Linked DNA regions of Lonchura striata. The protein of the gene in region 4 purifies or fractionates together with the protein of the main gene of each other region. This does not show direct contact. Links are inferred from orthologs where the notes say so. Each region holds a gene or a part of one and is shown on either strand. Other genes may lie near its edges. The genes, in order: NUP85, NUP107, NUP43 and SPAST.

Evidence for each region.
Region 1: the proteins of SPAST (region 4) and NUP85 purify together in Homo sapiens (affinity purification with mass spectrometry; 3 studies listed by BioGRID and IntAct, counting the BioPlex papers as one, with this or other methods). This does not show direct contact. The link is inferred for Lonchura striata from reciprocal best matches to the Homo sapiens genes SPAST and NUP85.
Region 2: the proteins of SPAST (region 4) and NUP107 purify together in Homo sapiens (affinity purification with mass spectrometry; 3 studies listed by BioGRID and IntAct, counting the BioPlex papers as one, with this or other methods). This does not show direct contact. The link is inferred for Lonchura striata from reciprocal best matches to the Homo sapiens genes SPAST and NUP107.
Region 3: the proteins of SPAST (region 4) and NUP43 purify together in Homo sapiens (affinity purification with mass spectrometry; 3 studies listed by BioGRID and IntAct, counting the BioPlex papers as one, with this or other methods). This does not show direct contact. The link is inferred for Lonchura striata from reciprocal best matches to the Homo sapiens genes SPAST and NUP43.

What each region holds. Positions count from the first base shown.
Region 1 is NC_134621.1:5,353,825-5,360,813, forward strand, and holds the start of NUP85 (nuclear pore complex protein Nup85), read right to left. Parts: upstream 3,019-6,989; 5' UTR 2,984-3,018; coding exon 2,951-2,983; intron 2,850-2,950; coding exon 2,756-2,849; intron 2,671-2,755; coding exon 2,508-2,670; intron 2,155-2,507; coding exon 2,084-2,154; intron 1,753-2,083; coding exon 1,709-1,752; intron 975-1,708; coding exon 905-974; intron 26-904; coding exon 1-25. UniProt on the Homo sapiens protein: Essential component of the nuclear pore complex (NPC) that seems to be required for NPC assembly and maintenance. As part of the NPC Nup107-160 subcomplex plays a role in RNA export and in tethering NUP96/Nup98 and NUP153 to the nucleus.
Region 2 is NC_134607.1:44,371,443-44,379,055, reverse strand, and holds the start of NUP107 (nuclear pore complex protein Nup107), read right to left. Parts: upstream 3,005-7,613; 5' UTR 2,961-3,004; coding exon 2,953-2,960; intron 2,093-2,952; coding exon 2,007-2,092; intron 1,001-2,006; coding exon 911-1,000; intron 169-910; coding exon 53-168; intron 1-52. UniProt on the Homo sapiens protein: Plays a role in the nuclear pore complex (NPC) assembly and/or maintenance. Required for the assembly of peripheral proteins into the NPC. May anchor NUP62 to the NPC. Involved in nephrogenesis.
Region 3 is NC_134605.1:57,519,585-57,526,657, forward strand, and holds the start of NUP43 (nucleoporin Nup43), read left to right. Parts: upstream 1-4,072; 5' UTR 4,073-4,112; coding exon 4,113-4,232; intron 4,233-4,605; coding exon 4,606-4,728; intron 4,729-4,970; coding exon 4,971-5,048; intron 5,049-5,953; coding exon 5,954-6,131; intron 6,132-7,073. UniProt on the Homo sapiens protein: Component of the Nup107-160 subcomplex of the nuclear pore complex (NPC). The Nup107-160 subcomplex is required for the assembly of a functional NPC.
Region 4 is NC_134605.1:32,864,952-32,872,275, reverse strand, and holds the start of SPAST (spastin), read right to left. Parts: upstream 3,003-7,324; 5' UTR 2,948-3,002; coding exon 2,542-2,947; intron 1-2,541. UniProt on the Homo sapiens protein: ATP-dependent microtubule severing protein that specifically recognizes and cuts microtubules that are polyglutamylated.

The DNA.
Region 1 (6,989 bases), on a different chromosome or scaffold from region 4:
AGGAGGCGCAGCAGGAGGGGCCCAGCTGTGCAGGCAGATTTCCCTCTGTCAGTTCCCACCTCTTTGTTCCCAAACTGCTCTCGCACATTTTATAACAGTTTGACATCACTAGATGAGATTTACTGACTGGATTTCTACCTGCCACCCCCAAATTACAGAGCTCCTTATGCAAAGAGGCCCTGGGAGCACCCAGCCTCTGACAGGTTTTCCTGTGGCAACACGGTCCAGTAGAAAACCCACACTTGAAGAAATAAAAAATGAGTGATCCAGATCATAAATCTTGCAATGCCAAGAGACAAACAGAATATTTCTATTTATTTTAGCATAATTATTACTAACTGAATAGGTGGAAGAAATTTGGTACTAGGTGACCAATTTAGCTTAAGTAATCTATAATTTGCAAGTCTCTGCTGAATTCTGGGACTGTGTAAGTAGCACATTTATTTGCATAATATGATTTCCTTCAAAAATTATTTCCTACTTTAAAAGACCAATGTAAACAGACTGACTTCAAAAATGGCAACCTAAAGTTAAAGGAGTTATATCAGAGCTGTGTAAATGTCAACTGGCATCGACACATTTGATGTTTAAAGACATGTTTAAGCTTATAAATAAAATAGATTGGCAACAACTTTTGATATCCCTCTGCTTCATAACCTTTCTGACAAAGAAACAATTTAAATCAGAGCGAGGAAGAAAAGTAGAAGGAAAATTGAATAGCTTGGTATAATTCAGTATAAAGAAGGCAGTTAACTGAGGCAGAAGGGATATTAAAAGGCTTACTGACACTGCATACCTCTAAAACATTAAACTATGACACAGGGAATATAATACACATTTTAAACAAAGAAATATGCAAAGAAGAAACCCATCAGTCTTTACACCAGCATAGTTCACAGCTCACCTGTAGCTGATTCAACAAACAGAATCTCACAAAGGTTCCAGATCAGCTCCATTGCGGAGAGAATGGAAACCTGAAGGAAAGCAGGGCCAAGTTTCAGAAACAGTCATTCCACCTGGGTTTTTTAACCACACAAAGGCATCTGCTGTCCACAGAAATCAGTTCTTACAGAGAAACATCATACTGACATTGCAGAGATAAAAATTAAAAGACACAGGCCACAATTTCACACTCTTTGGTCAGAGAACACTGACACTGTGTAATGAAATGCAACAATAATCTGTCACCAGTGAGCAATATAACTGGTCTTATTTTCAGCCTTTTAAGATTCAATACAAACATCAAAGGCAGAAAGAACAGCCAATGAAGCAACACCACTGCAGCTGATAGGACAGAGCTGGTGTGAGCACTCTGCTCCTCCCAGAACGCTCTGGTGGATCTGACAGCTCACCCTCAACACCCAGAGGTTGCTGTGAGGCTCAGATGCTGCTGATTGGAATCTGAGAGTTTGAGAGGTGAAACACCACACAGCAAGTCTGAAACTTTTCTTGTCAGCTTTGGGATCACAAGAAAACATCACATCTAGAACAGAAAATATGTTTACAACATTGCAGTGAATTGAGGTGTTTGGCATCTTTATTGTTTCAGAAGCACAGGAATTAACTATTTATTTCAATTTATTCTTGGTCATGAACTGCATCTCATATACAAGACAGAGTTAAATCTGAAGTGCCTCGTGCCACAGAGGTGGCCTGGTGAATTCACCAGGCAGTAATCCACGTTCAACCTGACAGGACTGCAGATTACCTGAGTGCTGTACTGGCCTTGCAGGGCAGGGTCCTGGGTCGAAACTGAAGGAAAAGCAAATAAAGTCAAAGAGCAACATATTTACATTTGCCAGCTGCTTCTGAGCTTTGATAGCTTTCCATATATCTGCCACATGAGATACGAAAAGGCTGCAAGTCCCCAGAAAATCAGTTACAATATGGTGGGAAAAAACCAGTCCATGACCAGATTCACAAACCAACGTGGAAATATCCCACATGGAAATAGAATCTTGCCAATTACTGAAACCTATACATGTTATTGTACAGCACTTGCAGTAAGTTACTATTACAATCCTACTTTTGTAATTGCAACTGGTGTTTCCTTTTCTTGCAGGAAGAGAACAAACAAACTTACCAGCTGCCTGGTGCATGTCCTCCATGCAGGCTCTTATCACTGACCGGTAGTTTTTACTCACTTGAACCAATCTGCCAAACACAAAAAGACTTTGATTGGAGGGAGCTGTTGGAGTTTTAGTGTTATGCCCCCTATAACTGCAAGTTTCTCTGCAGCAACAACTCCCATTACCTGGGTGGATCCAGCTGGAATCAATGAAACTGTACCACATTCTACTAGCATGGTTATTGGAAGGATCCGATCCTTGATTTATAAAATATCCCCAAAATAGTCATTCTATCTGCCTCGCTGCTGATTCCAGAGCTGGTGAAAGCAGCCTGGCCAATGGCACTTGCCCCACCTGAGGCGTTCGTCAGCCCTTGGCGCTGGCCCCGGCTGGAGAAGGGGCAGCGGCTGCCTCCTTCGCATCTCCCCATCCACTCACTGCGCCTTCCGCGACTTCCCCGCCAGCTCCTCCTCGCTCCGCTGCAGCCCCATGAAAATCCCGTGCGACTCGTTGAAGAGTTTCCGCAGGGTCTGGATGTAAATGTCCTGGTCCCTGCGGACCACGAAGACGCAGGAGGAGCTCGGTGCTCCATCCCCGGTACCTGCAACAGAGCCCGTCAGCGCCCGGCAGCAGCGCCCGCCCTGCCCTCACCCAGAACCGCGATGGGCACGGGGAGCGGAGCCCACCTGCGCGGCCGAAGAGCGTCTCGCACACCAGCACCTCCGCGGGGCCCCAGGCGAAGCAGAGCTGCCGGGCCGAGGGGTCCGCGCCCGGCACCACCTGCGGGGGGACGGTGTCCGTCAGCGGCGCCCCGTTCAGCCCCGCAGCCCCCGGCCCCGCAGCCCCCGGCCCCGCAGCCCCCGGCCCGGCCCATCCCGCACCACCAGCGGCGGCTCCGCGTCCGGCTCGTCCATGGCGGCGGCCGCGCTGCTGCCGTTCCCGCCCGCCGGGCCGCTGCCGTTCCCGCCCGCCGGGCCGCCGAGGCCCCCCGGGCTGCCCGCGCCGCCGCCTGCGTGCCGCGAGCCCCCGCCGGGCCGGGGGCCGCTGTGCCGGGGGAGCCGCCCGGGCGCCGCCGGGACGGGAGGGAGCGCGGGTCCCGCGGCCCGGGACAGGCACCGGCGCTGCCCCCGGAAGCGCCGCCCGTGCGCGAGGCCCCGCCAGGCGGACGGACCCGCCCCGCCACCGCCCGGGCCGCCGGGCCTGAGCGCCGGGGCTGCGCCGAGCGGGCTGTGGGGATGGGGTGGGCTGGGGTGGATGCCAGCCCCTCACGGTGTTCCTCATTTTCTTGCCAGGACAGATTCAATGCTGGCTGGGAGCACTGCTGGCCCCAGGTGTGCCGTGCAGTGATGTCGTTGGTCAGTCAGCGTTCACAGATTCACCGAATAGGTTAAGTTGGAAGGACCACAAACTCGGGTCCAAACTGCCTGCTGCAGCAGGCTCATCTCAGAGTGCATGGCAGTGCGCTGTGTCCAGACAGTTCTGGAATATCTCCAGTGAGGGAGACTGCGCATCCTGCCTGATCTCTGTCCAAGTGCACAGTCACTGTCAGTGTTTTCACGCTTCATTGTGTAACAACCCATGTCTCCTATTTCCTCATACATGTCAAACACGTGCAGGTTGAGAAGCCTCTGGGATGTTGAAGGTGATGCTCTCTGGAGCTCTTGGGCATTGATAAAGCTGACTAATCAAATTATGTGCTCTGACTTCAGAGAGTTGCCTGCAGGTTCGGGAAGGACATGTAATGAAGCAGGATCAAAGCAGGAAGAACTGCCACTGTGCTTCACTCACTCACTCACTCCCTGCCTCAGGGTCCAGGAGGAGGTGGAATATCCCCTGGACACTGGGCAGAGGTGCCTTCTGAGGCTGCTGGAGGCTCATCACCTTTCTGTTAACACTGGGAGCTCACCTACCATGGCATTCAACTCAATGCCATGGTGTGATAAAACACTCACAGCACCCTGCTCCTCTCCTTCCATTCTGCTCTCCTCCCTGCTTCTGTGAACTCCTCACTTTTTGCCTGTGCTAGCCAATAAGCAAGTTCTTCAGCAATATACTTTTTAAGACAAGTATTAGCAGTGCAGCTTTGTTGGTCTCACAGCTGGAACCAGTCCCTCTTAGGCTGGTGCCTTCCCAGAATGCTCACTAAAAAGAAACTTTTCAAGATAATGTAAATAATTTGCTGTCCTGTATGACAAATAGTGCAACACTCCATGGCTAAATTGCCCTTTTTTACTTATCAACTGCTGCATCCATCATTTCCAATAAAAATAAGGCCAGCAGTTATCTCTGGGAAGAGCATGTCATGTAACCAGTCATGCTGAGAAAAGAAAGTGGTGTCTCTTCAGGTCAGAACGAATAAATTTTTGCAGGTAGAACAAATTAAACATTCCAAAAGCTGCTTGAGAGACTGAAGACTCATCAGTTTTAAACCTGTCGTTGTTTATCATGGGTAAGGGTCTCTGTTTTGTTATTTGAGGATGTGCCTGTATTTTAATCTGCTGTACAAAGTCAAATTCACCTTATTGTCTTACACAATGGTGCTGCTCTGTGCTGCAGACTTCTGAGGATGTTTGTGGGCATTCCTAGATCCAGAATACCATTCCACACATCACTAAAAGGCTCTATATGCAATTCAAAACCGGATGTCTAAAAACCCAGGGGTACGAGGCCTCCTGCCACTGTTCCTCAAGGCTAAGGTGCTGCTTTTATAACTGCAGCAGATTCTTGTGAGTGGCAGAATATATTTAGAACATCCATGTAATACTGTGTAGAGATCCACCGTGTGGGAGGTTGATCTAGGAGTGGGACAGTGTCCTCTGCTGCTCCCAGGTCCATCTGTGGGAAGAGACACTGAAAGCTGGAACTCTTTGATCTTCTCCTGCTGTCTCTTGGCACACAGCGTCCACTTTGCTCTCTCCCTAAAAGTGTCAGTGGCTTTTCATATCCGCAGCATCTGTTGTTCATAAATGGATGGTTCCTGTGGAAATCATCTTGGAAAAGGTGAGTTTTGGTATGAAATCTTGACAATTTTTGGTCCTCTTGAACACTGGCTGGAGCTCTGCACATACCTAGAAAGGAAACCTTCCTGCTCGAGGCTTCTGTGCCTCTCAGTCCATATAATTGAGTAGAGTTGGGAATTTCCATGTCAGCATGGAATTTCACATTGCTCAGAAAGGCTTTGGAGTATGGGCTGTGGGTCCAGCAAGGGAAGCAAAGAGAAATTGTGTGGTTTACAGTCAGGAGAAAAAGAGAGAAAAAAAGATCTGATTAGGACAGGAGTTACTACCTTGTGAAATAGGAGGTTTGGAAGCTATTTGGGGAACAGAGGGAATGATCAGCATCATGAACAGGGAAGGCACAGCACAGGCAGGGCTATAGGCAAAAGGTATTTTCTATTCCCAGGGTTAAGCCAGAATTAATGAAGAACAAAGCCTGAGGAAAGCACTCAGACCTGCAGAGTCTGAGCTGGTAACCCAACGCACTCATTCACACCAAATTACTGAGTGCTTTTTGTTATTGCATTGGACTCAGTACAAAGTAACACTCAGTTTTGAAGGGGCTGGAGTTGGTTTTATAGGCTAATGTTTGCTGATGTGCAGGAGCATGCACCTTCTACCTGTAGCTGCTTTGGTATCAAAAAACTTAATATTTTAAAATCCCAGCATGAAGAACATGTATATGGAATGCCCATGTTCCCTGCCCTCTTCATCAGAGGGGGGAGAATTAAACCAAAGAGCTCTGCAAAATCTAGATTTATTCCTTATAAAACTGCAGTACAAGAGTGAAACAAAGTATGGAAATACTTTAAGAAAAAAACACGTGGAATTTTTTTCTCCCAAAGATGGAATTTCTCAGGAATTTTCACTGTGATGCTTCTCCATTCACTTCCCTTCAGCTTGGTGCATTGAAGAGGAGGAGCTCAGAGGGACAAAAACCTTTGCTTTGCTCCCCTCTGCTGCAGCCCGGACCCTGCAGGAGTGGAGCTTTTGTAGTTCCCAGTGTGGCTTCTCCCCCCGCTGCTTTCTCCCAGTGCTGCTGTCTGGCCTGTTCCTTTGCAGGTTTTAGTACTGATCATTGTCAGCTCCAGTTTCTCAGAGTTTCCTCTGTTGCTATGTAAAAAGAAAAGCCACACAGAGATGAGGTTTGTATAAACCTGCTCTGTGATTTGGGATCTGTTTGATTGGTGGTGAGACCAGTGCTGGTGCATCTGAAGCTGTTTTCAGCCTTTCTGAGCACATCTAACTCCCATATGTTCTGATAAATCCTAGAGTATTTTCCTGTCTTTTTTAGCACATTTGTTCTATTTGTGATGCTGCCTTAACGTGTGTCTCACTTGGTGTCATTTCTGCCTTCAGTTCTTTCATGCCACGCTCAGGCCTTGGCCAGCTTCATCCCACCTCCCCAAAAATCCTCCTCCTGGGCCTGCAGCACAGGGATCTTCAAGGAGGGAGGGGGAAGAAGTGAAAAGAACAAAATACAACAGGACCATCAAACCCCTTGAGCCCTTCCTCACACATCTCTGTGATGTTGCATCATCTCTAAAAATAGAACTTAAGTCCATTGGGAATCACAACTCATCTTTTGCTCTGTGAAGTACCCCTTGGGTTGGGAGTTTTGCTTTAAAAAGCCATGGATGAGATAGATAGAAGGGTGGGCATTAAGATGCTTTGTTTCCTTGTTCTCACTAGTAGAGTGACAACTTCTTAGTAGTAATGATCAATTTGAGAATGACCAAACCAAGTTGCCCATTGCTTTTCAGAGCTGGAATGAAAGGAGAAAGAAGACTACAGGAGCCTGAGGCATCACACATGAAGTGGGATTTGGGCAGAAGTGCATGGTCTTCCCCAGCCAGGGTGCTTCTCACCTCCCAGTACCTTAAACAAATAAAAAAATAATAGCATGAGTAATTAAACACAGAGA
Region 2 (7,613 bases), on a different chromosome or scaffold from region 4:
TTTCTTATGTTTCACAGGGAAAAAAGAGAAAAACATGCTCTAACCATCTTACCATTGACAGATTGCCAAAAAGTCCAGGAGTTGGTAGAATGAGAGGAGACTTCCCTCCTGTTCCCAGGATGGCAGACATATCTGATGGCTTCATGGAGCTGCGATGTAATGCAGTACCTGAAAGAGAAAGAGGCTTTTCTGAAAAGAAAAAGTATTTCAAGCTGCTCAACTCCACCCAGAAATTCAAAAATAAATTTCTAACAGGGACTGAAGTGCTTATGAAGTGCAGACAGAAACCTGAAAGCAGGTTGTATATATACACCAAATAGGCAACATACCTTCAGTTACCAGAGTTCATTGTAAACACACATGAGCATAAAGAGCAGTATATATCCACTCATTCTTTCTTGGAAATTGGTCTCCAAACCCTTAAAGCATAAGGCAGCCCAAAGGTCTGTCAACTAGAAAAGATTTCTTAGGACCTTGTCCAGCTTTATTTATCTCCAAGGAGAGAGACTCCATAGACTATCTGGGCAACCAGTTCTAGCATTCAACTCTTAGAGTAAAAAAAGGGGTGTTTTTAAATGTTTAAACAGAATTCCTTGTATATGCTGTTGTGCCTATTGCCTCTTGACTTTTCAGGGCACCACGAAAAACTTGGCTATTTTTTTACTCCCTCCCATCCAATATTTATATCTATTTACAAGATCCCCCAACCTGTTCCTCAGGATAAACAATCCCAGCTCTTTTCAAGTCTCTCCTCATATGCCAGGTACTCAACCCACTTACCAACTTTGTGGGCCTTCACTGGATTGCAGCACATCCATGTCATTCTTATGGATTGCTATTAATTAATTATTAAGTACAAGCACATAAAAATCTTTAACTAAATAGTAAGCAGACAAGCAGGCAGTCTTACCTGGCTGGTGAAGTAATGAATTAGGAGTTCGGGAAAGACACTGGCTTTTAGGCGTCATGTTTCCAATAGTGTCATCCAGGGATGTAAGAACTAATTAGTAAACAAGTTAAGAAACACTCTCCTAAACACACTTTTGTATTTATTCTAAATGAATGTGGTAACTTGGAAAGGAAAAATAGTTTGTCATAACTCAAATGGTATGAAAATTACACATCTTCCAGAGTAAACCAGAAAAGTTTTATAAAATGTTTCATCAGAACCTTAAGAGCTGGGGGGTTAAAAGGGACACCACAAAGTGAAGTTCAGAAATATGGACAACACAGGTCTGGGACTACTCACAGCAGCTCAGATCAAAGAGAGCCCTTCTGCTTCATGAGGAGCTGCTGCATGCTACATCAACCACAACAAAAAGATCTGAGTCTGAATGCATGTTTTAGAATGTTCCCTCTCTCAGTTGCAGGTGCTCCATTGCTCTACTTTTCTTCTTCCTGTCAGCAACCAGGTTTAGTGCCCTAGGCATGATTTACTAAGAAGCAGTTGTATAAAAGTTTCAGTAGCTTCTGCTAGTAGCATTCAGAAGTATCTTGATTCTTAGGCACAATATAATCAGGACAAGTATCTCAGAAGCTTTATTTAGATGCAAAACCCAGAAGAACAAACAAATTTATTGGATTCCTTTGCTATCATAACCATGAAAAAACCATTATCTTAGCTGTCAAACTACCTCGTGGTGGTGGTGGTGGTGGTGGGGTCCTTATAGTAAAAAAGCAAGGGGGGAGATTTCTATGGAAGTTTAAATCTGTATCTGTGCACTACTCTTGCTATGACAGTAGATGGAAAGTTAAGATACAGTAGATCATCATAGGACTCGGATACTACAATACCTGCAAATAAACATAAAATCATAAAATTAAGATATAATGAAGGAAACGTATTTTTCTTTTCCAAAAGCTCAGGAATTGAGTCATGTAGTTCTCATATAGTTCTCACAACCACTTGAATTCATACACCCAGGAAAATCAAAGCAGTATCAAAAATATACACACCTGGTGAACACAGCAATTAAAGACAAAAATTCTTTACAGAAAAAGGATACTAGAAACTCTTTTCTGAGAGCCTTGCTTCCGTCCAGGTCTGACCACTTCAGGATCATGGGGGGATGACATGTCTTCAAAACCATTTCTACAGAACAGCAACACAGAGAGAAAACAAGCCAGTGAATTCAAGCAGGACATCCAAGATCTTACTGTCATGCCGACATAACTGCACAACCAGGAAACTTAAAGCGTTAAGTCATCTCCAATCTTACTACTTATGTCCAGCTTCCTCTGCAGAAATCTAGCACTGCTTATTAGCTCAGGGAAACAAGGTTGCGTGAAAACCCAGACTTTGTTCCTCCTACAACATAAGGGAGGGAAGGGCGAGCGGGAAAGAGGGAAGGGAAGAACAACACAAGGAAATTCCAATTTTGAACTGAAAAATGAAACAGAAAGAATGGCATGACTTCACTACATGACTTTTCCCTCCGGATAACGCAGTCTCCACAGGCTGGGAACGCTCACGTGTCCTGCCGAAGGGAAACCCCCATTCCCAGTCACTCGGAGCAGCGGAGCCCGCCCGGTGGGCTGTGCTGTGCGGGCACGCCTCAGCAGGCCTGGCAAAGGCTCGGCCCCGCGACCCCCGAGCAGCTCACGGCTCCCGCTTAACCAAGAAGCAACAGTCAGACTTAAAGGTCTCGGCCGACAAAACCCCTCCGGTGCGTTCCGGAGCCGCTGCAGGCCCGCTGCGTTTCGCAGCCCGCACTGCGCACAGCCGCTCCAGCCGGCGCGGCCCCGGCTCAGCCGGCCCTCGCCTGTCCACGGCCCCGGCTCAGCCGGCCCTCGCCTGTCCACGGCCCGGCTCAGCCGGCCCTCGCCTGTCCACGGCCCCGGCTCAGCCGGCCCTCGCCTGTCCACGGCCCGGGCTCAGCCGGCCCTCGCCTGTCCACGGCCCGGCTCAGCCGGCCCTCGCCTGTCCACGGCCCGGGCTCAGCCGGCCCTCACCTGTCCATGGCCCGGCTCCGCTTCCCGCCAGCGCCGGCCCGCGGCCCGGAAGGACACGGGCTCCTTCCGCCCGCCCCGCCCACGCGCCCGCCCGGCCCGGCGGGGCCGCGCTGGGTAACGGGCGGGAGCGGCGGGGCGGCCGCAGCCTGCTCTCCTCTCTCAACCCGTGCTGAGGGTCAGAGGTTGAAAAAACCCCGTAGTGTAAAAGTGCCAGGCGCTGTTGGGGTTATCTCGCCCTCGGGCGCGCGAGGTGTTTGATACGTTCGGCTGGAGCAGGGACGAGTTTTTCACACAGCTGCAAACGCACGTCTGTTTCTTCCCCGTTTCTCCCAGTGTCACTCAGTCTACTGGCACCAACATTAAAGGGTAAAGCAAGCACCGCGCGGGATCACTCAACCCTTCAAGGCTGGACAAATTTAACAGAATTATGAAATTGCCTCTCCCTTTCCTTCCCTAAATGAATTCAACCTACTTTCTACCTACAGAAAAACATTGTTACTACCATATAAGCACAAATAACGGTGGTGCAGTTCGTTTAGTTGCGCTCTAGGACAAGGAAAAGTGTCCAAAATGAATCTTTTCATGTAGACAGGCAAGTTCTGAAAAACACTTGCAAGTGCTTGGGTATTTTTAGGGCTACAGCTACAAAGGGGTACTTGAAGCAAATTAGACAGGAGGATACATCTGACAACGGCTGCAAAAGGCACTAGAAGTGCAAGACGTGGTCTGAAGTCCTCCAGCTTGCTTGAGCTACTGATAAAATACCACGACGCCCAAGCATAAGGTTTCACTGAAGCTGCCAGAGAGCCTAACTTCAGAACGCTTCACAAGAAGAAAACTGATCAAGACTGGGTATGCAGAAACACAAGCAAGCAGACCTATGGAGAGTAGATTAGTCACTCGGGAAATGTACTTTTGGATTAAAAACACCCCCCAAAAAAACAACCACCAAAAACTAACCAAACAAACAAACAAAAAAAAGTTGCCCTTCTTTGTTGAAAACTATCAAGAAAGCACAAGCAAAGGCAACAACCTTCATGATGACATCAAACTAAGTGTTTAAGGAATTATTACATCCTAGTTCAGTACTATGAATTTAATGGAATTTACGTCTCAATATATCCTACTGTAACAGGGTAGCATTATAGTCTCTAGTGCAGTGGGAAATTCAGAGTAAAGCACAAATCAGTATCTGGTTCAATCGTTTGCTAACAGCTCACACCCTCAGGCTAGCCCTGCCTCAGGGCAGAGAGTAAACAAGTGAGAAATGTAATGATGACAGAGCAGATGCTTCCTTTGTGTGCCGTCTCAAGTTTATTCAAAGCACTGATAGATGAGAACATAGCAAAGGAAATAAGTCTGAAGATAAATTAAGAGGTCAGGATGCATACTTTAAGAAAAAAAACCCAACCCAACAAACCTGTAAAAGTGTATGAACGTTTGGGGCCTTTGAGAGGACTTGTCTTAGAAGGTACAGCCTCTCTTAAGTGCAGACTGGGAAAACACCTTAGAGGCTCCAGTAAGGGGGCAATGCAGGGGGAACTGGATAAAAACCTGGAGGTGTATTTCAGTACTTTTTGACTGGCATCCCACTTCATATTTAGCTACCAAGACGGAAAAAGGAGGAAAAAATGAAGCAAAAAATAACTGAAAATCTCATTAAAGCATCTTATACTTCCAAGAAGCAAAAGAGAATGCATTTTTTTCAGGACTCTAAATTCAAATTTATAATTAAAATTCTTACATCTGACCTGAAGTTTCACATATTTGGATCAGATACACTGATCTCAACTCCAGTTGTTACCATAATATCAGGGGAGATAGCAATGTTCCTTACTTACAGGCAGGACACGCAAAGATGACCCTGCAGCTAGAACAACTAACACCAAAACCAGGTATATTTATTGCCAATGCCTAAGGTTTCTCTGCTTCCTAGTACCTTTCTGCAAAGTTAACAGAGCATACAGGATGTACTAGGTTAATTTTGATCTAGTATATTCTGAACTTTAAACAAGTAAACTAACTCAAAACTCCAATTACCCTTTACAAAATACACTTTAAGACTGCTCATAAATTAAATAAATTTTCTTAATGCCCTGCTAAGCTGCATATATACAATCTGCATATCCAAAATCGTGAATTACCAAAAGCAAGAGCTCAACAAAATTCAAGTGCAATGTGTGACAGCAGCACAACTTCACTCAATACAAAGAAAACTGAAAACTACACTATACCTTGCCTTTATGTAAGAGAAACAAAAAAGTACATGTTTTAGCCCATCTTTTCTTAGCTGAAACCCATTCCTGGAAGTATTTTTCCTGGAAGTAAATTTTAATTTTTTCATTTAAATACATGGAAACTTTTTAAAAACCAATCTCAAGAATTTAAGTAAAGCGTTCATGTATTGCTTAGTATTTAAATACATATTGACTCTCAAAATGTTTGCTCAGGTTCTTACCAAACAAATTGATTCTCATGCTCTTTCTATTGAGGCAACTTAGCTAAAAACATTTTTTTATTAAACAGGAAAAAGAAAGAGACAAATTTGTAGCTCATTTTATTTGTGTCTGAAAATCATGACAGTACTGCCAAGGGTCTTTGTTGCTATTGGGTGCATTACAAGCAGTAAACCCAGCTGATGAGAGCTAGGATTTCATACGTAGAGGATTTTTTTTGTATGCAGTATGGGAGTGAAGATACCAAGTCCTCCCTACTAGATTTGGAAGGTTAAAATGCCATATAGTATGAAAAGTTAAAGTATACCAACAAAAGAAGGAACTGTAACATCCACTAGGATTTCACTCAGTATTCAAGACTACAGAAATGGCCCACGCCTCCAAGTTCATGGTAAGCAAAAGACATTACATGAATTAATTAGAAATTACAATGATTCTCAGGTGAAGTTCACCCCAGTCACAACTTCAAAGAAAAAAAATCCTGGTAGTAGTAAACTTTCTTAAAACAATGAAGCTGTAGCACTTGTTGTTTGGCAGAACTAGGATCTCTTGAGACAGGAGTACAGTGGAAGTGCAAAGATATTCTCTTCTCCATTCACAAATCTCTCGCTAAAGAACAACTGTTTGAAAACATGAAGTCACTCTCTGCTTTATGACTCAAACTTCTGAAAATAAATGGTTTTGGAGGTTATTTAAAACAAACAAACAACCCCCCCAAAAACCCTAAACACAGAAAACACAGCAAAATCCACATTTATATGTTGTTTGAAGCCCAGATATTGAAATACTGTGAACAAAATCAAGACTACAAAACAACTTTGCTTGTCTTTCAGTTCAAGACTCAGAATGTAAAGTTTTCCACAAATATAAGTATAATTCCAGACACTTTATAAAATGGAAAATATAGATGAGGTTTTAAAAATCTTCAAGCTGCTAAATAAGCTTTTGGGAAAAAAAAAAGCTTAACATGCTTGAGATTCAGAAAACCTAACTTAATAACTCTGGTACTAATGCTACCTTAGAAAACAACTTGCAACTGCATTTTGTTATATACTTAATCAACTTTTTATTTGTCTTTATCCTCCTCCCCACACACAGGCAAAATAAATGCAATAAATTGAAATGTAGCCTAATGCTGTTGGGACAGCAGTATAAAATTGAACAAAAAGTTTTTTGTCTACCCTTGGCTGCATAATCAGATTACAATTGAAAAAGTGCTACATAGCTGTACATAGACTACTTCTGACCATTCACATCCAGTATAACTTTCTACTGCTGATACGCCTGTCTAGAGCTGGTACAGTATTGTGGCCAAATGACTTCCCAGCTAAGCTATTTTCAAAACTGGCTAAGATTAGAAAACTTGGAAAAAAAATTCATGACGTTTAATTCATCCAGTTTGTTGACACCATTTTAAAAGCAGAAAAATTCTCATCTTTACTGTTGACCCATAAGAAAACAGCAATTTTACTTTGTAATTGTAATTATTACTTTGTAATTGTAATCCCAATTTCAAACTCCTGCCAGCTTTCATTTCTACTATCACAGAATCAATACATCTTATGAAAAACCTAGTATCTAACTCCACAATACTTTTTTAGAATTTAAGTCTCTTATGTAGGAGAACAGTAGTAGTTTGAGCTTACACTTATTTGGACATCTGAAAACATCTTGCAGTCTCAAAATAGTCTTCTAAGTTGGGCAAGTAACATTCATTTCACAGACTAATTTGAGGATGAAAAAGGGCACTAGGATAAGGTAAGATATAAGAGAAATTTATATTGCAAGGCAAGAGTCCTAATATGATGAGTGCAATTCATATTTCTTGTATTTCAGTATTTCTGGACACAAATAATACTTTTCCCATAGAAGGCTCAGACTTTAAATACTGACATTTATCAGCTTCAGATTAGAGAGGAAATAAAGCATTGTGCACGGTAAGCATAAGATAACTTTACAAGCAGTTACACGTGTATTTAACACTGAATTTGCAAAAATGCCTGCATTAGTTCTCAAAATGTTAGTTATACATGTTTTAATCTAAAGCTTTAGGAGAAGTTTCTGTACAGGCAATTCAAGTGTGAACTTCTTAAGCATTGGTACATAATGGAATTATCTTGAAGATATGTAAAAGTTTGTTCAAAAATCTCAGCAGACAGGATTCTTTTCTACAATTGGTAACTGCTTACATAGTTCCAATTCCCA
Region 3 (7,073 bases), about 25 Mb from region 4:
CTTGACATTCAGAGAATGAAACTAAGTGTGGGCCTTCCTTAACAATATCTGGGGTGTCTTGGACGGATATCAGGCATGTGTGAAGGAAACAGCATTGGCTTGGCAGGCTTCCAGGAGCTCTAAGACAAGCCAAGTTGCCTCAAAGGGTCCTGGGAAACTAACATGCACCAACAGTGGCAGGATGCACCCATTTGTGCAGTAAACAAGTGAAGGTGTCCCTAACTCTTTCAGTTCCATAATCCCAGGCCATGTGTACATTTAAAAAACCTATTAGGAGCACATTCAACGAGACTAAACTAAAGGCAACATTTTTTACTAGTGTAAAATATGAGCAGAAATAATAATACAAAAAATTGTTTTCTGGCCATCACCATTTATGTGAAACCTATCCATTTGCTCTGATACTCAGGATTTCTGTATCCTGCTCCAACTCATGTGAGCACCTTGGTCCCTGGATGCTCACTGTCAACTGCAGGCACCTCCATTTTCCACATGCAGAGCCATTTCCCTAGACTCTCCAGGAAGCTGATGCGTGGACAGTCCTCTTAGAGAAAAGGCACAGGAATGCCAGCAGCCGGAATGCCAGCAGCCAGAATGCCACCATACAATTGTTCTGACATGAAGATCCCACTAAGTGTAAGCACATCATCTCGTCTTCCTTTGCTGCACATTCACCCACATCCCAATCCTCTCTAGCTGTACTTCCATACATTTATATATAAACCCCTTCAAACTACTATTTCTGTTTGATTCCTTCCCTCCCACCTCATAGGCCCATTAGATTTTTTTAAATTCTTTGAATTTAGAAAGAATTTGAAAATTGCTCATCACTGTCTGCTCCCATCTGCTTCTGCATACCACAAGCAGAAATTTCCTTGTGAAATGTTCCTACTGTACATTTCCGCAGTTATGTCCCAAACCCTACGCTAATTGGCTTTTACACCTACACTCCCTCCTCTTCTTGCCTCCATTCTGTTTTTTAACTTAATCACTCTCCTTCATCTCATTTCTTTTCCTATAAGCTCAAGCCAGTTTGGTGTGTACCTTCCTTTTGTATTACCATTTCAGAAGTTTACATTATTTTGAACTCCACATCCATGTTTTACCAGCTCTGCACTCAGAGATGAGGTGAGAAGGACTCAGTAACATCAGTGACTTTCCCCATTAAGGAGCAGCAGAACTGGTACCCCTTCATGAAGGAAGGTCAGCCTTCCAGATGAGACCTTCCAGATGATAGACCATCCCACAGCATCTAAGCAAGGCAAGCAGAGCAGGGCTGGGGACAGAAATGGTTTTGCCTTCAAGTGAAGTGACAAGTCAGGCCCCAAGTCAAGCTAGCCACCAAGTTTGGGCAACATGGCTGAGCACAGGCCCTCCTACAGCACAGCTCAGGCCAAGAGCAGGGTATCCCAGCCCAGATGGGAGCCCCAGCCACGGGCAAGGCTTATGACTGCACTCAGGGCTGGTCCCTCTGCTGTTACATCTGCTCTGCAGTACACTGCAGTGTAACTGTACACCTTCAAGAGAATAAACTGGGCACAGCTCCAGGACCTCTTAGCAGCTGTCAACATTGTTTTGGCATCTCCAAGAAACTTTCTTTCAATATTGTTCAATGATGATTGGAGAAAAGCAGATTATATGCAAATCTAGTTCAGAATTAGCTTTATCCTGCCCTAGTACAATCACTGATCTAGTAGGTGCCTTTGTCCTCAGGCCCCCTACGTTCTCTGAGACAGGCATGCTTTCGGTTTTCTTCCCTTTCACTCACACTCCCAGCTTTAGCCATATTGAAGGGTAATCCAGAGATGCACCTTGTTGTCTTAGCTGGCATGCTTGGACCAAAGGCTTAGAGTCATCTTAACCTAGATTTAACATCTTTCTTGAAAACTACAGAAATACTAGATGAGGCGTATTTTCTCTTGGTGCTTATTTGCACCTTTTATATGTTTATTTAAATCTGCCATTACACTGAAATGATATACTAACACAGTACACATCTTTCAGAGGGATCAAGCACAGAGTATTTAAAGGTTTACAAAGCAGACCTAAATCTGTCAGAGCTCTCACTTTCATCATATAAAATGCTGCCAACATTTTCTTTAAAAAATGTAGGACAGGGAAGAAAAACTGTGAATCTTCTTTTCCTCTATGTGAAAATAAGCCTTTATGTCCAACTAACTTCCCTTACTACTTCCCAAATGCTTCTGAACAAGCAATCCTGAGCAAAGAAAGATATCATCCAAAAGCACAAGGTAAAATAACACACAGAGAAATCACAAACTAACAAAAAAAAAAATATTTGCCTAATAAGACTTTTTAATAATTCCAAAGTGTTTTCTATTCAGCTTTTAGTTGTCTGGTCTGTAGCTATACTCTGAGGCTGCCTATTGATGTTTTTCGTGTTATAAAAATTAGCTGATAATACCCTTGGAGTCAAGAGTGACTTGCAGAACTGCTGTGAGCAGCTTAATAAGGGTGCCAGAAGCATTTGCTACTGTAGAACAGCAATGCTGCTGCCATGTGCAACAATTATTTTTTAAGGTATGTTTGCAGTATGGTAGACTCCTAGAGAATCCAGCTTTTGGCATATGTTCAGTGTTGGATTCTGCTGAATGTAATTATGGAAGAAAAAGTTAAATGAAGTTCAAAAGATGCATGAAGCACATAAAATATCAGTGGTTTGGTATCACACCTCAGGGATTACAAAACAGTATAGCAGACTTAATGAGGAACTCAAAAGTGCTGTATAGAATAAATCTGTATAGATGCCTTTAGCAGGAAAACTGCAATAGCACAATGGAAAATTTGTCTAAGCCACTGTTATGTCCATCTGACAGAACCTCTGAGACTGGGCAGCATCAGCTTTGGAAAAAAATGCAGCAGAAAACAAAGCTGTAAAAATCTGTGTGAGAAAGTCCCTTACTGGACTGCAGTGACTGGATCAATAGTCTCATCCTCTGAAATGACAACTAACTACACAATTGTGTCAGCCTTTAATTTTACAACTAACCTCTGAACTTTTTATTGCATAGTTATTTAGTTCTCAAGTGAAATACTAGAAAGAAAGTACATGTGTGCTCCTCTTTGATTTAACATAGCATCTACGACAAAAAAATATTCTGTTTATTTCTGTACAGGTAGGAATCTGTCAAAGCAATGACAGTATCACTCAGAAGTACAGTATCATGGTTTAACCCCAGCCAGCAAGTACCAGGCAAATATTTGGTCACATAAGCCCCACAAACCACCCCAGCCCACCCCAGGGAGTATGGGGAGGACAATTGGAATAAAACCAATGTAAAAAAAAAACATGGGTTGAGATAATAATAACAACTTATCTCTTAATAACTCTAATAATTCAAATCAAAAAAGATAAACAGCCTGTCCCTAGGCAGTAATTGGTCCCTCCTGGCCAATGTTCCCCAGTTTAATCAGTGCATGTGATATTCTATGGTATGGAATATCCCTCTCACCAGCGCGGGTCAGCTGTCCTGGCCATGCTCCCTCCTGGCTTCTCGTCCAAGTGCTCACCGGCAGAGCGAGGACTGAAAAGAACTTGATTTGCGGTAAGCGCCGCTCAGCAGCAACACATCAGTGTGATGTCACCATTATTCTCACATTAAATCGGATACATAGCGCTCTGGCTGCTACTCGGAAGAAAATTAACTCAGCTGAAAGCAGGACATACTTAAAAGCAGATCTTAAACCAGAAATGCTTAGTCGTTGTGTACGTCGCTCATGTTGAGAAAACAGGAGTCGGTGCATGTAAGGCACAGGTGACATACGGACACAACGCTCCGGCGGACGCGGCCCAGCCGAGCAGACAGGTAACACAACGGCACGGTCGCGTCATCCTCTGTTTCCTCCTCTCCGAACCCGACCCTCTACCGACACCGAGCCGATAGGCGCCGGTGCAGCTGCTCAGGGTCAGGCAGAGCGCAGCGCCGCCCCAGCCCCGTTACCGCGGGCAGCAGGCGCCGGGCCGCCCCCGCGCCGCTCCCGGCACGGCCCGAGCGCGCCCCCGCCTGTCCCTCCGCGCTCGCCGTCGCGCCGCAGCCAATCAGCGCGCGTGGCGCGGGGCGGGCGGGAGCGGGCGCGGGGCGGGCGCGGCCATGGAGGACGTGAGCGCCAAGTTCGTGTCGCAGAAGATCAGCCGGACGCGCTGGCGGCCCCTGCCCGCCGCCGCGCTCCAGCCCCCCGACCTCTTCGCCACCGGCTCCTGGGACAACGAGGTACCGCCCGGGCGGGCCCGAGGGCGCGGCGCCACCTCCCCGCCGGGCGCGGGGCGGGTGGCGGCGGCGCCCCACGCCGCCTCGGTTCCTTGCCCTCCGCCGCCTGGTGCGGGAGCGGGGCCGGAGCCGGCCGGGAGCACCGCCTGGCTCGGCAATCCCGCGCTCCGCTTGACCGTGCCGTGCTCGCGTCCCCAAGGGAGCTGTGGGGCCGCCCCGGCAGCGTTATCCCCCGGGGCAAGCGCTTCCCTCCGGCCGGCGGCGGCTTCCTCAGGAGCGGCGCGCAGCCCGCAGCCTATTGCTTTCCCTGGCTGAGGATTATTGCTCGGTACTTTCAAAAGCGTTTTCGAGTACATGTGGTATCGTTTCCGTTCAGGACAACAGGATCTCCATTTGGTCTGCTGGCGACCTTGGAAATGCGGGCCTCAACGGTGAATATCATGGAGAACCTCATTTGCTGTGTGACATCCAGCACAACGGCGATGTTATGGATATGCAGGTAAAATACCTGTGTTGAGTAGTTCCGTAGTTTTTAAGGGCTTGTCACTTAGGAGAAGTTGAGTGAAAGTGAACTGTCAAAATGCTGAGATTGGCCAGAAAATTTTGACAAAGAAAAAGGACAATGCCAATCAATATTGCTGTGTTTTTCGTGCGTTTGGTTTTTTCCCCCTCCACCTACCAATAATTTTGATTACTCTAAAATCAAAGTTGGCTAATAGTATTATTGTTTTCTCTCTCTAGTTTTTGGATCAAGAGAGAATCGTGGTTGCCTCATCAACAGGAACTGTAACTGTATTCCGTCATCATCAAAATAACCAGGTATGTGACATGCACTGGCTTTAAAATGCTATTCCCTGTAATACAGGTTACTTTGATCTTAGCATAAAAATAATCTGGCTACCAAAATGAATTTCTTTTAAAAGCGTGTTAAAAAAGCTTTGACTTGACACATACGAGGAAACAAAATAGTGTTTTACACATATGCACATAAACTAGATTCCAGAGTGAGACAGACTGGGGTATCTCCTTATCTGTATCTGTAACCAAACGCCCATTCATTGAAAGCATCGTTTGAGACATTAGAGGGTTTTGGGGCAGTAGATATTAATGGACTTCTACCTGCCTTATCAGAGTTTTTGAATTCTTGAAATAAATTACTTCTTTTTCAATTCTAACAAATTATGAATTAATTCTTATGAGTGTCATGTGAAGAAAGATATGTAAACTCTGTAGCCTTTTGCTTTGGTTATAAATCACTGAAAATAAATGCATAATTACATTTTTATATATGTTCAAATAACACAGTAAAGGTGGATGTCAGTTAATAATTTGGTGTGGTACCTAAAATAAACCAACTTCCTTGCAATCAAGATCTGAATCTGACCTTTTATTTTCTAAGGGCATCAGTTCTTTTCCCCTGTCATGGGAAATATTGAAGACATCAGCCTAGTGAAAGACATTTTACAGTCCATAGTGTTATTTCTAATTGCTAGATCATGTGAACACAGTGGTTCAGAGAAGAAATAATTAACATTTAATAAAAGCGTTGCGTGTTTAAGATGAAAATTTGGATCTCTTGATTTGTATTTATATAGGAGGCTCTCATTCCCATGAAATACTGTGGCTTTCCTGGAGCTTGTTTCTGGTTATATGAGTATTCTGGAAGATTTGTTCTATTGGGTTCATTATTTAATACCATAATTTCATGTGTGGTTAATACTTAGACATTATCTGCTGACCACCGGTGGGAGAAAGCCCATTATCATGTGGATCAAGACACAGCTTGTGGTGGAGCAGCCTGTACAGGAGTTGTCTGCAACAACCCAGAAATTGTCACTGTTGGAGAAGATGGTAGAATAAATCTCTTCAGGGCGGACCAAAAAGATGCAGTAAGAACTATAGGTGTGTGAAATACCAGGGTTTTTAAATTAGTCTAGTTTGGAGGGGGTTTGGTTTTCAGCTTATTATAACAAAATAAAAAATAAGTTGAATATTGATTTCAGTATTCCAGGTTGAACATGTTTGTTCCAGATTATTCCTGTATCCCTCCAGAATTCAAATACTTGAAGCATATTTCAGATGTATTTCTATATTCATCTAGGTATTTTTAAATTCATGGTTTTACAATAAAAGTTGGAGAGGTAAGAGAGAGAACATCTTAGAAGATGCTCTCAGGTTCTTCAGAATGGAGTTCTGTGGTGTAAGCAATCTGTTTTGCTGGTTCCCACTTCAATAACACCTTGACATTTCCCAGGCACTAAGCTGAATCCGTAACTTGAAGATAGAACTCTTGTACCTCATTCAATAGTTGCAAAGGAATACCTTGGAATTTCTGTTAGTGTTTAGTGTTATTGTTTTGTTATTGTTTGTTTAAGAGTACAGTACAAAGTGCATAGGTTTGTAGTCAGTTAAGGTAGGGAAAAAAACATCTATAAAGTTAGAGGTTTATGTAAAAATATTTTGGAGCAGTAAAGATGTATCATTGCTAAACCACTTAGTCTGTCATAAAACTTTAAATCCTCTAGAACCTCGGTATTCAGTAATCCAACATTTCTTTTTAATGATGTTTTAGTGAGTTTTTTCTTCCCCTCTGCTTTCATTTAAACAATAGGCAGAAGAGTCATTCCAATATCTGTAACCAGGCATCATTGTAATTTTTTTCCCAGTATCAGAAAATATTTCCATCTTATGCAGAAAGATAATAATTTGCCTATATTTTCCATATGGGCTTAAACAAAGAATTTTAAAATACTTGAGGTGAAAGTAGACTTAACAAAGTTACCCCATCATAATCAAGATGAAAGGTTTATATATAGTAACAGAAATAAAATACAAGAAAATAGT
Region 4 (7,324 bases):
TTTTGAGACTTTTCTTTAAGCTTCTTCTCTCCACCACCCACAGAAACAGTTTCAACTGCAGTGTAAATCATAAATCTAATACTGATTATAGCTAAATAAAATCTTGATTTGAGATGATTCCAGCCACCTCTGCTAACAAAGCCTGAATGGCTTTATTATTCTTAGGGGCAGATGCAAACATTACAAGGTCATCATTAAAATTTCACTTCCAGCTTTTAACTGGAGAAAGCTTTCACAGCACAATACCACATCAAGCTGTTTGCAAAGGTTGTGCTCCACTGCCACACAGAATGATTGACTAGTTCTCAATGATTATGACATTAAAAATAAAATAAATGTCACATTCCTTGGAAGTTGCTGATTTGCTATATTGGCTCTGGCAGAATGGAGCTGATTTTCCTTAAACAGCCCCAATGGCACTGTGTTTTGGATTTGTGACTAAAACAGCTGATAACACAGAAATGTTTTGGGTGTTGCTGAACAGCACAACCTCAAGGTTTTCTTTTTCCCATCTAGATCCCCAGTGAGTTGGCTGAGGGTGCACAGGAAGTTGGGAGAGAATACTAGCAGGATGACTGACCCAAACAGGCCAACAGAATATTCTGCATCATACAATATAATGCTCATCAATAAAAACCTCGGTAGATGAATAACTGAATGAGGGCTGTCTTCCAAGGCAATCATCACTTGGAAAGATTTCTCACCCTTTTTCCCCTTCACTTTTGCTCCTCCTATGCTCTCCCCTGTCCCACTGAGAAGAATAATCCACTGTGTGGATGCTTAACTGTTTGCAGGTGTCAACACACCATATGTGCCTTCTTAGAAAAAAATATTAAGCATTAAACTGTAAAAATGCCAAAACAAGAATAACTGCCCTAATTCAGAAGCATAAAAAATTACCAGAAGTGCTATCAAAATTACTGAAGTATGCATAGCTCCCACAACAGCAAAAATGCCACATAACTAATAGGTTATTAGACAATTCAGAAATTCCACCAATTTCACATACTGTGTCTAACATATAGTTTTGTCTTTGAAGATATAAAAAGCTTGCTTACAGATCAAAACTTTTTCAAAGATAAGACAAGTATTCTGGTAAAATCAGATAAGCAAATAACAAATCTATATATCAAATAACAAATCTATGAGTTCTTTCTCAATGGGATGTATATTGCAGTTGCAGGACTGTTACAGTTTTGTAACTGCTCATATAAGCAGCAAAGATCATCTTACTAAATGCATGGCCTGTGCAGCTAATTCATGTATGATCACTCTAAAGATACCTACAGAGCAAGTTAATTATTAAAATTCATATTTAAGGGCTTACCCACCAAACCACGTACAGTTAAACATCACAGCAGTGGAACAGGTGCCTGATAAGGTAAGACTTTGCTACTCCTCACAGAGCAATCATCAACAACACTGAAGCCTCACCTTCTTTCATGCTTTGCTCCTATGACCCTCAGTGCTCTCTCGCTGTACACCTGTGCTGAACTAACCCTGCTGCACATGGTGCGCAGTTTTTTCTCTCCCAGAGCACATACCACTGCCACTCCCAAACTGTCAAGGCAAAGGAGGACACATCCCATGCTTTTCTGGCGCTCTCAGTGTGCAGCACCTATTGAAGACCTACTCCTATATTTTTAATCTCCTCTTCTAGGATAGCAGTTCTAGTAAAGCTCAACTGAAAGTTTAGAATAAAGTAATCTGACTTTTCCAGAGAATTTTAAACACCAGCACAGCAGGTCTCCAAGGCCTACCTTCTGCATGCTGACAGAATCATGCTGCTGCATTTAGAATAAATGATTAAATTTAATTTAGTATCAAGTGTTTTGTTTGGTTGGGGTTTATATTATGCTCTACAAAAAAAAAAAAATCCTCACTCCTCTGTTTTATTTCATTGAATCCTAAACGTTCTCCTTAAGGTCTTCTCACCACACAGTGGTAGGTTTTTAGGTTTTTTAAGAGTATTCATGGCAAACTTAAAGTTTAAGAAAAACATGTTTTAAGAAACTGCCAAAATACTTAAAGTAAGTATTTATTTCCTTAAAATCACACCACTCCAAGTGGGCATTCTGAGGGCTAAGTAACCTGAAGCCTCGCTCGAGGACTCACATCATTTGTCAGGCAGTGCATTATAGGATGCATCTTTATTATTGTCCTTGGTGCTTTTGTTGTCCGGCTAGCTTGGTGGAGGCTAGTTACAGTCACACACCCGCCCGCAATTTTAACCGCCTCACCCAGACCCCCGCGGCAAAAATTATGTTTTTGGGGAGAAATACAAGCACTTGTATTGCAAGGGGAATGAGGCCGCGCCGCAGCTTTGTGATCCGACCCGCGCCTGCGGGCTGCGGCAAGGACCAAAGCACCGCCACTGCATGCGGACACGGCACGGCTCACGGCCGCACAGCCCGTCCGCAGCTCCCCGCATTTCTTTCGCCAGCGGGTTTTGTTTGCTCTTAGCTGAAAGCGGTTCCACGGCACAGGGCCCTCCCGGCCTCCCCCCGCACCCCGGGGCGGCCGCGGGCGCTCCCTCCCTACCTGTCTCGTCCTCGTCGATGCGCAGAGCCATGGAGATGCACTCGAAGGCCCGCTTGTGGCACGCCCGCACCGTCTCGGGCGCCCCGCCGGGCTCGGGCGCGTCGCCGGCCCCGGCCCTGCTGCCCTTGGCGGCCATGAGCGCGCCGCGGGAGAGGCGCTCGCAGAGCCAGGCGAAGAGCAGCCCGAGCTGGAAGGCGACGAAGCGGAGCAGGGCGAAGGCGGCGAAGAGCGGGTACGAGAAATAGTACAGGTTCCGCTTGTGCAGGGACGCCGCCGCCGCCGCCCCTGCCGGCGGCACGGGGGGCGCCGGCCTGGGCGGCGAGGAGGGAGAGGCGCCGGCGGTCGGAGGCGCGGAACTGGAGCCGGCTGAGCCCTTCTTCTTCCCTCGGCCGCCCGGAGAATTCATTCACCGCCGTCGCCATAACCCGCTGCCAGAGACTGACAACAACCGGCCATGGCGATGGTGGCGGCGGCGACGCCCCTTTCGGCCGACCCAGGGGGAGGGACGGAGGGCGGGGCGCGGCCGGCCCCGGCCGGGGCGGGGAGAGGCGAGGCGAAGCGGCACCGCCCCGCCACCAGCGGAGGGGAGGGCACGGCGCTTGCAGCGCCCAGCCCGCCCCGCTCCCGCGGAACGAGGGGCGGGTTCTCGGAGGCGCTCGGGATCACAGAATCAATGAAAGACCTGTGAGATCATCCAGTCTAGCCTTTGACGGATGTAAAACTGGACCACAGCACTAAGTACAGCATCCGGACGGGTCTTGAGCGTGATCAGGGACGGTGACTGCACCTCCTCGGACAGTCCATTCCCTTGTTAAACAACCCTTTCTGTGAAGAAATTCCTCCTAGTGTCCAACCTGGACCACCGCTGGCACAGCCTGAGGAGACGTCCCCTTGTCCTTTCGCTGGTTGCCCGGGAGAAGCCAGCCTGCCGCCTGGCTGCAGCCTCCTTTCGGGGAGCTCCAGAGTGGAAGCACCAGCCCGCTCCAGCCCTAGCCGAGGCCGTTCGCTGTCGGCCCGTGAGACGCACCGAGCGGACGGGCGATGAATAATTGAATAGGATCAGTTATTGTGACTGGTTGTGAGCCACGCCACAGGCACAATCCTGGCGCCGCTCCCGCCTGGGATCACTGCTAGTGGCACACAGGCAGACCCCGGGGAACTCCCTTGCACGGAGAGGCGTGGAGCAGCCAGTTCTCCACGGCGTCCCCCCGGGAGTGTGCGCCGGGGCTTTGTCTGCTCCACAGCTCTGTAATGGGAATGACAGGCTGGCTGCTCACATGCAGGGGGCTAATGGAATTCACTATACATTATAGATACATCACTCTGGAAGGAAAAAAAAAAAAAAAATCTTCACTCTACTTACCAAAAGTGAACTTGCAGTTGTCCAAACCCTTGTCAATTATTTGCCCAGCCATAATATTTATTTGTGTTTCACCAAAGAGATAGATCCTCCACCTCACTATGCCTTTGGTTATTTCAAACTTAAGAATGCTTTGGTACCTTTAGTCTATATTGTATATGCAGGTGAACCCAATGGGAAGAAACGACGATGTCTGACTCAATTCAGAAGTCTGAACTATTTCTTTATTATAACTATGCCAAAATACATTAATATACTATATAAAAGGAGGATACTAAAACTGTATACTACTTTCTTTGACTTTAACTCTCACACAACGTGTGACCCTCTCTCTCTCGTGCGAGTCCAGACACAGGTGGATTGGATTGGCCATCAGGCTCAAGCAATCCTCACCAGAATCCAATCAAGCACTCACTCCAGGTAAACAATTCTCCAAACACATTCTACATGGGAAAAACAAGGAGCAAAAATAGAAATTGTTTCCTCTTTCATTTCTCTCTGTGCACCTCTATGAAAAATCCTGAGAGGGAGAGATATGTGCTTGCCACAAGTCTAGTCCCTCTCTGCTTCAACCTTCCCACCTTTGTGTGTGCGTTGCCTGTTGACTAATCTTTTTCGCCGTTGTTTTGCTTTGTCAAACACTCTGTTCCACAAATAAAATACTGAATGATATTAGATATGACAGATCATCTCTCTGGCAGCCCTGAACTGCACACAGGAGCTGAGACAGTCCCAAAACTGCAGACAGAAAATTCAGTGCACAGTCAAGTCTCCCCTAGCTAATAGCATGAAATGGCAGTTGGTGGAGCATGTTAATTAAAAGTATATGCCAAACTAAAATCACTACTGTCTGCAATATTTTATTCATTCTTCCAAAATTACTATGAAACTACTGGGTTTTTTTCTTGTTTGTTTATGCCTCATAAAGTTACCTCCAGATTCCCCTGGTAACGTGTATTTATTTTCTTAAATGGCAGAGTGGAGTGGTTTTTTTACTGTATAAAATACAGAATTTTATCAAATATAAAATAACATACAAATATATAACAATTATTCATGACCTAGACCATTGTTAGATAGATGGTGAACCTATCAGTTCTGAAAAAATGCAGCAATGTACACCAAGTACTTTTCTTTTGTGTTTTGTAAGGATTATGTACTTCTACTATGAAAATACTATCAAGTATGTTCCACCCACTCATGAGTGGAAATTTTTTTTTTGTATATGTAACTGTCCTTTAAAAAAATCTCTCACTTACTGATATAAAGGTTTAATAGATTTTTATAATACCAAAGAAATTCCAGAAGCTTCAAGCAGTGTTAACACTAAGAAGCATTCAAAAATGTGAAATAAGCCTGTAACAACAGATTATCAATCTATAGTGTTTATTATTCCACTGCTATCTAAAGTAGCATCCCATTCCTGAGCAAAACAGAAAAGCCAGAGAAGGAATAAGTTTATTAACAAGGACATATTGAATGACAATAGAAGACAATGCATCTCAATCAATCCTGACTAGTCAGATTATTCAGTTATTTTTACTTTTTAAAACATTTAGAATGACACCTTTGTGAATTATGTGACAGTATCATGACAATAAGAGTACACTTTTTAGGGGCATAACAACACTTTAAGCCAAAACACAGCTTCAAAAGCAGGAATCAGTGTGAAATTGTGAGAAAGTCTTAATGCTTTTAAGGAAAACCTACAGAACTAGTTCTGTATTGTGGCTATTAAATACTTCAGTGCTCTGCAAGTTTAATTTCCCTACCTTCTTCTGTCACTACAGGACACCTGAAAGCACGACACCAGCCGCTGCTATTGCAAAGGTGAAAAAGAGGAAGTTTATTTTCTGACTCTAGCATTTATATTTTTTTAAAGGTGACAGTGGATTGGAGGGTGAATGTACCACCTCTCCAATGACATTGGATAAACTATTAGTACATTAAGTTTCTCCACTTCTATGGAGGAATGCAAAACAATAGATTGTTTACAGAAAGTTGTGTGAGAAAGTTCTCTACAATAATGTAAACTCAGAAGGCTTTAGAAAAATCTTAAAAATCGGAACAACACTCTTCTATTAATATCACTCTAGCAGTCATTGGACTTGTCAGTGAACCATTCTAATTAATAATCTGGTAAAGATTAATGCTACTTTGAAAAAAAACCAAAAAAAACCAAACAACCAAAAAAAACCCCAAAAACCACAAACCCTTAAACCACATCAGAGCAGTGGGTGGCTTTCTGCTGGTTAGTGAGATATCCTGACTCAGCAAAGGTTATGATGAACACCAGCAAGAGGTGGAAGAAGTGAAGCCTCCTCTGGAGTGGGATAGTGTTCACTCTACTCTAAAGATTGAGGACTTGTGAAATAGAAGAGATACAATCTGGTGTCTCAGCAAAAGATTTAGTAATCTGAGCAGACCAACGTTACAGTCATAGGAATTAGAAAGGTACAACTACCCTGACACTACAATTTACCATTGTACCAAAAGGTAATTAGGAAAACGTTTTTTCTTTCCCAACATGACCTCTAAATACAATTCTCTAAAATGTCATGACTAGAACACAATGAAAAATTCAGAGAGGCTCAAAACTGACTGCAAAGCTTATACCTCTTCACATTAAGAATTTGTTTGTATTCCTTTTCTAAGTTTTAGTAAAGAAATCTCAGTGTTTTCACCTCACCTCTTTGGCATCAGGTAAGTCTGCCAGCACTAGGCACTAAAATATATATAAACACAGGACACAGTTCTGCTCTAATTCCAAGTTCTTCAGTTGAGTATCAAATCTGTGACTGCACTAGATTTTGAGCCTGCTTATGACACTGGTAACATTGTCAGTTCTGCAAACATTGTTTCAAATTCATTTATGTACACACACTTCATTATTAACACTACTAGATGATTATGTCAGAGCAGAATCTATTGAAAACATGGCAATTTATGTTACTTCTCCATTTCACTAATCTTTTAGGAGCATCAACTAGATCATTCCTATGCATCGTCATCACTGCAACAGGAAGACAGGAAAAGAAGTAGACCTATTTTTGTCTATTTGTTTATTTTCTAAAAAAACCTCAAACAAATGAATAAAAAAAGCCCAAATCAAACCAGAACATCCCAAAACTCCAAACCTACAGAAACGAAACATCTTTGTCAGTTTGAACCCAAAATATTTTTAAGGTATTTTAATTCTCTAGCACAAATCACACTTCCAGACAAAGAATTCACATAATCATTAGGGTTGGAAGGGACTTCTGGAGATCATCTAGCCTAGCCCCCTGGCCAAGGCAGGGTTATCAAAAGCGGGTGACACAGGAATGCACCCAGGCAGGTTTTGAATCAGGTAGTCTCCTCTAGAGAAGATTTCAGAACCTCATCAAGAAGTTCTTGCTAAAATTTAATTCCTAGTGAAAAGAA